Linked DNA regions of Schizosaccharomyces pombe. Changing the gene in region 1 together with any one later gene gives a genetic interaction. Each region holds a gene or a part of one and is shown in the gene's direction. Other genes may lie near its edges.

Region 1 (4,236 bases):
GTTTGGGTGGATTTCCTTGGAGAATTCGTTTAAGTGAAACCTTTGAAGGTTTCAAAAATGGCATAGTGAAAAGGAAAATAGAGCTAATTACAAGAGAAAAATATAGTACAGGTTAAAAAAAAGATTCAATCTTAAACACTTTGTAAGTTTTTCAAATGCTTTGAAACAGCTGTCGAAGTTGTAGTCGGTTCCTACAATTTAACGACTAGGTTGTAAGTCTGGGTTTTTTTAGAATTAATAGTAAAGGAATATATTAAATCATTCGGTAAGTAAAGTCAATATAATCAGCTTCTCTAATTAGGAGAACTATTTTTCATTACTATGATAACCGTTTCCCATTCCCTAAATTTACGACATCCTGCGATGTCTGTATATAACTTTACATAGCAGTGTTCCAGTACGTAATATTGTTGAATGCTTGCGTAGAGTAACGACTTTATTAAAATTGGTTATTGCAATTGAATAAGGTAATATAAAATGCCACATTATTAGCACTTTAGGTGTCTACATGTTTCGCTATTTTTTAATGATGTATGAGAGTATTGTTTATACCCAAAATTGTAAGCGCATTTTCCATCCTTCTGCCTATTACAAGAATCGCGTAAATCATGAGAAAAATTTGGGAATTAAAAAAGAAAGAAGCTCAAAAAGAGAAAAATGCGTCAGGGATTAGTCCAGCACAAATCCGAATCCAAAAAGGTGCGACTCATCATGTTGATAACTTTTCGCGATTTACTCGAAACTAACCATTTTCGATGAATTTAGACGTTACAGATTTAGAAATCCCATCTACGATGTCTACAAGCTGGCCAGATCCTATAAAATTGAACGTGCTACATTTAGAAATCCGGCCTGACGAAGGTAAGTTTGTGATTCCGCATGAAAGAATATTTGGTGTAGACTTTTTGAGACTATTATTTTTTATTTTGATTAACATGAAAAGGGTATTACAAGGGTGGGAAATTTAAATTTCGAATCCAAATCGACGATAATTATCCTCATGATCCTCCTAAGGTTAAATGTCTAAACAAAGTATGTCAGTCATGCTCTAAATTAGAGTTGCAGCTTATGGTATATTTTTTGCATTTAAGAAAATAACCATTATAACATGTTTTGAACCCTTTCGTTCTGACCTACTGTTAGATCTATCACCCAAATATCGATATTGAGGGAAACGTATGCCTCAATATTCTGCGTCAGGATTGGAATCCAGTGTTGAATTTGAATTCTATTTTGGTTGGATTGCAATTTTTATTCTTGTCACCAAACGCAGAAGATCCACTCAACAAAGGTAGGTTAATTACAATTTTTTGGGGGGCAATGAACTATTTCTTGTTATTGCATTACAAGGAAATGATTATTCATCTCTTAACTATCATTTGATACTCATTTTTTCTACGATCCTTTATTATGGGATTTATAAGGTTCTTTACTGAGGACAATGATTATGATAAGCAATTTTAATATAAGAAATCTGGTTTGCTCCTTAACAAATTTTCTAGATTTATTTAACTATACTAACAAACGATATCTTTTAGAGGCGGCGGCTGATTTGCATAAAGACCCTCAAGGATTTGCATCTCGTGTGCGTACAGCCATGAAAGGTGGTCTTGTGAATGGAATTTCTTTTGACAATGTCATGGCTTAATTTTTCATCAATCTAAATCAATTCGATAAAGATAACCGACATAGATTAGACGACTGTCATGAAAATATTGATGTGTTTTAAATCTCGCTAAATCAGTCACGATTACGATGAACTTCCGATATCAGTATAAAAACACATAACCAGAACCAAACCCCCCTAATAAGCCCGTAACTGCTTTACAATGTTTCAAAGACGATCACTTCTCTCTGTTCGTTCGTCTGGTTCCCAAATCGCCTTTCGTCGATTTGTCAGCGTAAGTACAAGTTTGTTGATAGAGTATGCATTGTAAGTGCAACTGAACATACGATGGCAAATAATTAGACTATCATCTAATTCTGATTGTTTTCGAGAATTCTGTACTTTGCTCTTGTTTTTAGACAAGTATTGATGTTGAGAATGCTTCTTACTGACCCAACAAAATAAATCTTCATTTGTGCTTTCATACTGCCTCATACAGTACTAATTTTAATATTTCTTAAACTGCTTATTAACCAAGTTTAGCTTACCCACAAAGATCCAACTCCTGATACAACCAGTTGCAATATTATCAAGAAGGAAGGGGCGAATATTATATCAGTTTATGCACGCTATCCAGTCGTAGCTGCTAAAGGTGAGGGCTCCTATTTGTTTGACAAGGAAGGTCGTAAATACATTGACTTCACCTCTGGCGTAGCTGTTACATCTTTGGGTCATGCTCATCCTGAAGTTGCTAGACTTGCCGCTGATCAATGCTCCAAATTAGTCCATAGTAGCAACCTTTTCTACAACGAGCCTGCCATTGAGCTATCTAATGTCATTAATAATTCTTTGGCAAAAAATAGCGGTATTGCTGGCCCCACAAAAATTTTCTTTGCCAATTGTGGTACTGAGGCCAATGAGACAGCCTTGAAGTTCGCTCGTAAGGCAGCGTTTGAGAAGTATGGAGAAGGGAAGAGTCAAATTGTTTACTTTAATAACTCTTTCCACGGCCGTTCTTTGGGATCTCTTAGTATCACTGCGAACCCCAAATATAAACGTGGTTTCCAACCATTACTTCCTGATGTCGTCCAAGCCGTCTATAATGACCCTGCATCCATAGAGCAATTTGTCAATGACAAAACTGCGGCTGTTATTGTCGAGCCCGTTCAAGGTGAAGGTGGTATTTGTCCTGCCAAGCCTGAATTTTTGATTGCTTTGCGCAAGGCCTGTGATAAGGTTGGTGCTTCTTTAATCTATGATGAAATTCAATGCGGACTTGGTCGCAGCGGTGATCTTTGGGCCCATAGTATCGTTAAGGATGTCGCTAGTCCCGATATTATCACAGTTGCCAAACCTTTGGCTAATGGTCTACCTATCGGCGCCACCATTGTCTCCAGTAAGATCGCTGCTGAAATTCACCCTGGTGAACATGGCAGTACTTTCGGAGGTAATCCTGTTGCTTGCCGTGTAGGCACATTCTGTGTTAATGAATTAGGGTCATCCAAGATTCTACAAAACGTTAGAAAGCAACACAAGGCTCTTACTTCACGTTTTGATGACTTTGTTGCCAAATACCCTAATCTTATTCGTGGATATGCTGGTCGTGGTCTTCTTCTTGGTTTGCAATTTACCGAGCCCCCTGCTAAATTTATTGAGCTTGCTCGTCAACAAGGTCTTTTACTCTTACCAGGTGGAAACAACAACACCCGTGTCCTTCCTAGTTTGAATGTTAAAGATGAGGTTATTGCTAAGGGTTTGGATATCATGGAGAGCACTTTGAAGGCTTTAAGTAAGTAAAAGTGTATGTTTTCGTAGACTTGGTCATTGAATGGATTGGTTATATAGTGCGATAAAAAGTGATTATTACGAGAAATCTTGTTCCTCGAAAACATATATTAACCTTGCTCTCATTTGCCAACCAAAAAATTTTTTGATAGGGGGGTTACGAAAAGCTTAGCTGGAAGCTTTACATTGTAAATACTGGTTTTCGTTATTCCCTTTCTTTTCATAATCAATTTTGTTTACATTTTTTGTTAGAAAATTAGATATATATTGTTGTTTTTCATCTACTAAACTGAATTGTCGTAATATGTACCGTAAATACTCTGTCAAATGATAGTAATTCACAAAATCAATGTTTTTTTACTGCGTTTTCTATTACTAACTTTTAAAAAGTTATATAGCAAATAACATTCCATGTTTTCTTTTAGCATTAACTATTTTTTTCTTTGGCATACAATTATTATATCAACATGCTATTCATTCAATTCACATTAGAACGATATCGTTATAAGGAATTCTTAATCAATTTTTCGTTTCTATATTTTATCTTAATTTAAGGCGCACATCGATACTTTAGCAAAATACCACCATATTCAAAAATAAACAAAATTTTTTATCTTTCTAAAAAATATCATTTTTTTAAGTAAGTTTAATCATTTTATAATGATTGAACAATGAATATCATCTCATGCTTATTTTGAAGAATCGCATTTCGCGTAACTAAAAGCAAATTTCTTGGATACCCTCAGTACATTTCCAAAAATATTACTAAAGATGGTAGGGAGGGGATCTTTTTCATCTACCTCGAGCGCCTCATCCATTAATTGGATTCCAAAAAACACTAAAAC
Region 2 (5,017 bases), 760 kb from region 1:
CTATGAAACGAATAAAACTAAAACGGACTATAAATTTCGGTAAAAATGATATTACAAAATATATGTATATATAGTTTTGCTATTCAATCAGTCATATATTTAAAGGTAATTGACTATTACAGTTCGCATATTTAGGAAGATCAAAATATTCATTTATTGAGAAATGTATAACAACGAGTATCTGAGCGGATATCGTGGCACAATTTTAAGTAGAATAGGTTGCTTCGAAACGAACAGTATATTATTTTTGCTTGCTTAAAATTAATTAAACAGTGTACGACTCGGAGCATAAGCATTTTAATTCCATTTATTAATTTTCCAAATTTCCTAGAAAATAATAGATTAAAAAAAAATTCATTAATTTATTTATTGCTACAAAATCAAAATTTTGATTAACTTATTATTTTTACTTTATTTTTTTTTATTTTTTGTTTCAAACTTCATTGCAGTATTATTGGCAACAAGCACTTATATTCAGTTTCAAAACTTTTTTTATTTTATATTCTCGAATTAATTTATTTATTTTATTATCACGCAAATACAAAATTAAACTATTCATGGTGAGAAGGTGAATTTTTTATAACGTTGCTTGTTTTCAGTAGCGTTTTCGCTAATGTTGACTTTAAAGTCTGTTTTAGAAATTTGGATTCCACAACCAATCTCGTATATATCAATAAAGAGAAAAGCAACATATTATGATTGGAAATTTTCTTTTAATTTTCTGCAAGAGAGTTCTTACCTTCCATTATGGTCTTCAAGTCCTCAGGGCATGTTTGAATACTAGTCATTGCCCAATTCCCTGTTTTGTAGTATTATATACATGCGTTTGAGCCAAAACTCACACTGCATAAAAAAAATGATATTCTTTTCTTCAACCATAAATATTATTATTTAACACAACAAATGTCTACGGCCATACCTAGGCGAAAACACCAGTTCCCGTCCGATCACTGCAGTTAAGCGTCTGAGGGCCTCGTTAGTACTATGGTTGGAGACAACATGGGAATCCGGGGTGCTGTAGGCTCCTTCTTTTCTTTTTTTTTTGTCTTTTAAATCCAGTTTACTTTTTTTTTTTATATTATTTCTATATGGCATGAAACTGGTACAGTGGTACAAGTTGTACATCTGCCGCCGGTTTTTTATCCAAATTTACCCTCTATTTACACTTGCATTTTCATCTGCCTCGATCACTCTATCCATGACAATCGCCTTTTCCAACTAATTTGCCTTTTCGCGGGTATCTACGCTTCGTCTGGAGTATTATCTACTTCCGTTCTTATCCTCTAATTCCACACACACTTGCTTTCCGTACTCAAATCGGTAACTGACATGGCAAAAATTAACACATTTATTTCGTCTTAACCCACTTTCGGCATTTTTCAGCTGCACAAAAAGGGAACAATTTCAAAGAATTTAGACACTACCAGCAGGTATATGTGTGTAAAATATTATAATTCATTGAGTTAATACAATTTCCTCTATAAACTCGCATTCTATTCATAGTGCTTACTCCCATAAAACTTGTTATCCCGAAACCATATCTCCTGTTACCTTTTACAGCCGCACCACGATCGCAATTTATTTTAAGGTATTAAAGCCCAGTGCGGAAAGTGCCTTTTACGCAGCTATATTATCAATGGCGACCCGCTATCCTTGCCAACTCCCATGCTATCAAAGTGAGTATAAAGGCAGCTAAAACCCTTACACCTGTCTTATCGTGAACCAGAAGCTGTATGAACTTACAGACGAGTACAAATCAAACAATTGGTCCCTATGTCATTCGATCGGAAATTGGACGTGGATCTTTCGCAATTGTGTATAAAGGAAAGCACACGGTAAGTAAAAGAAGCAACTGCTTGTCTGTTTCAATGGAATTTGGTGGCTAATCGTGTTGCAGGAAACGAATCGAGTGATCTCTATTAAAAGCGTATTGACAAAGAAGCTTACTAAGAAACTTTTGGAGAATTTAGAAAGTGAAATTTCAATCCTTAAAGAGATCCGTCATGTGCATGTTGTGGAACTGATAGACTGTATTAAGGCTGGGCGGTTCATTCACCTGGTCATGGAGTATTGCTCCCTAGGAGATTTGAGTTATTTTATTCGAAAGCGAGAAAAGTTTAACAGTATTCCCTCCTTAGCCTGGATCAACATCGATCATCCGCCAGTTTACAAGGCTGGATTGAATGAGACGTTGGTTCGGCATTTTACCCAACAACTTGCTTCTGCACTCCAATTTTTACGATCGCGTTCTTTAATTCATCGAGATGTCAAACCCCAAAATCTTCTTTTACAACCACCACCCACCGCTGCCTATCTGGAAGAGCATCCCCAGTTTGTGGGAAGTCCCAAGCTACCAATGCTTAAATTAGCAGACTTTGGTTTTGCACGTTACCTTCAAACGTCTAGTATGGCGGAAACTCTATGTGGCTCTCCGTTGTATATGGCGCCCGAAATACTTCGTTACGAGAAATATGATGCTAAAGCCGATTTGTGGTCAGTAGGTGCTGTGTTATACGAAATGGCTGTTGGAAAGCCTCCCTTCAAGGCCCCAAATCATGTCGAACTTCTTAGGAGGATTCAAAAAGCTAAAGATGTCATCAAGTTTCCTGAAGAAGCTTTCATTCACCCGGACATTAAAACCCTTATCTGTGCTTTGCTGAAGCAAAATCCGGCTGATCGTATCGACTACGACGGTTTCTTTTCCAGTATTGTTGTCACTACTCCATTAGATGACGCATCTACTTTGACCGGTAGCGATATTCAAGATGCGGTTAAGGAAATAAACATTCCATCTTCTAGTCCTGCCTACATAACCGATTTTTTCCCAAAAAGTAATCCTGGCGCTCCTGCTCCTCCAGGCGGTTTGTTGCGTCAAGCTTTCCAAGCTCAGGGGTCTAGTATTCAGCCCTCTGAAATTACCGGTCGAAGGGTGCCTCATCGCTATGCACAAGATGGAAACACTTTACCATACACCCCCGTGTTTCCTCCTGAAAGTGCTCCTGCTGCTAGCATTTTCCCTCCTCGATTAACCTCTAAGCAACCTATACCCATGGCATCTCCTGCTAAGTTGACAAGTGATACTTCGAACAAAAGTAGCGCCTATGTCGTAGTGGACCATCATCCCATAATCTCTTCTACCCAACTTTCCAATGAAAGCCTAACCCACGAGCAATCAATCAATGGTAACTCGCCTTCACCAAACGAAGGTGTTTTTCAAGGTAGTTTCTCTCCTGAAAGCGCTCCTGTAAATAATCATGCGTTTCCCCATACTAGCCGGATGCAAATCCCTTACATGAAACCCAATGCTTTCCCTTCTAATCCTACCTACATTGCTTCAACCCCAGTCACTCAACTACGTCGTGCGTTTGAGCAAGCTACAGCACATGTACCTCAATCTGGAGGTGGTGCGCGAAATAAAAGCGCTCTAGAACGAGCACTAAATGTTGCAAACGCTAGGCTTAATGAAGTTGTAGTGGATGGTATGACAGATAATGGAAACACATCCCTTCCTACAAAAGAAAGCAATTTGGATAACAATGTCAACATTATCCAACCTTCCTTACCTGACACCGGTAAAAGATTGCTTGATGTTTTAGAAAGTATAGCGATGAAATCAAACTCTGTCTACCATCTGGCTGAAGTGAAGCTTGCTCAAATTATTCCTTCTTTGTCTGATGAAATGAAGCCTGGAGATACACTCTTGGATAGACCTTTGACTCCTTTTTCATTGGTTATGTTAGCCAAGGAATCGTATGTACTTTATGAGAGAGACATTGAGCTGTTACAAGTGGCGTTTGACGGTGTTGCTGCTTTTTGGGCCAACTCTGAAGAACGTGCATCTCCTGATTGCCAACAAGCCATTGAATGGTTTCGTCAAAGGTATTCAGAAAGTCTTGAGAAATCCCAATTTTTACGTGAAATTATTATTTCTCAAAGTGCCGCACATTCTTTGCCAACTACCAAACCTGTGTCAGCTTCTCAATTAATTTATCATAGAGCATTGGACCTATCCAGAAATGCAGCCACTAGTGAACTGTCAGGAAATGATGCACAGGCTTGTTTACAAAATTACCGGCTTGCAGCACATTTGTTGGAGTCACTTCTTGAGAGTAATTTTTCGACTCCAGACGGTGCTAACGATTCCAATAATTCAGTAACCATAAGAAATTTGATTGCTTTGATAACGAAAAGGCAAGAACTTTTACAATCGAAACAAATCCAGGCTAATGTAGCCAACAAAGTAACAGAAAGTGTTGCGAAAATAACACTTGCCCCCAATCTTGCTTGAACACCGACGATTTCGCCCTTTTATTGAACAAATTCGCATATTGTATGAGCTGAGCTCTGAGTCTAAATTTTGTTATGAATTCGTTGTTATGACCATATTATTTATATAACTTTTTAATATAGACGTTTTTAATTTTGCTTTTTTTATACATAGGGTTGATAGTCCCGTATATTTAACTCTTATTTATTGAGGTTTATCTCTATTCAAATTTCGTGCATATTATTTTTTTTCTCTTAAATTTTTCAAACAAGTAAAACAGCTATTTAACGTATCAAGGCAAGAATCTAGTACTTTTTTGATTTCCAAAACAAAGATTTGTTTTATACGGCCTAGAGCTGATGACTGCATGAGAGAAACAATTAAACGAGTGATAATGTTTTTGTTCAAACGACCCATAATTTACAAATGTGTGAAAGGAAATTATTGTAACAATACCTCAAGAAATGGCCTTGAAGTCCAAAAGTCATCGTCTATCAGACTTACGTGAAGGATAGATAAAACCATTTTCTTCTTTTGTTTTACGGAGAACTTTTTGTCTTGTTGATGCCATTCTTGATCAATAGGCTAAATTAAATAAGTAAGCAAAAATTAATTTAAACAAAGTTTGTCGAGCATACCTCACGAATCCAAATCGAGCCCTTTTTGTATATCTCTGGTTCAAAATTATAGTTGATGCCGAATTTTGAGAACAAAATTTCATGTTTTTCTGCGCTGACGGTACCCTGTAAA

The links.
Region 2: mutations in arg1 (region 1) and atg1 impair growth when combined (synthetic growth defect), as found in Schizosaccharomyces pombe (one study listed by BioGRID).

The regions. Positions count from the first base shown.
Region 1 is NC_003421.2:1,612,491-1,616,726, reverse strand, and holds arg1 (acetylornithine aminotransferase), read left to right. Parts: upstream 1-1,790; 5' UTR 1,791-1,829; coding exon 1,830-1,901; exon of another isoform or gene 1,902-1,929; intron 1,930-2,149; coding exon 2,150-3,403; 3' UTR 3,404-3,680; downstream 3,681-4,236. Other genes in the region: protein Gta3, read right to left, coding at 1-64; NEDD8-conjugating enzyme Ubc12, read left to right, coding at 609-699, 766-861, 944-1,032, 1,144-1,291, 1,539-1,648; Protor homolog, Bit61, read left to right, coding at 4,163-4,236.
Region 2 is NC_003421.2:849,321-854,337, reverse strand, and holds atg1 (autophagy serine/threonine protein kinase Atg1), read left to right. Parts: upstream 1-1,655; 5' UTR 1,656-1,733; coding exon 1,734-1,835; intron 1,836-1,897; coding exon 1,898-4,288; 3' UTR 4,289-4,505; downstream 4,506-5,017. Other genes in the region: thg1 (tRNA guanylyltransferase), read right to left, coding at 4,709-4,852, 4,906-5,010. UniProt on the Schizosaccharomyces pombe protein: Serine/threonine protein kinase involved in the cytoplasm to vacuole transport (Cvt) and found to be essential in autophagy, where it is required for the formation of autophagosomes.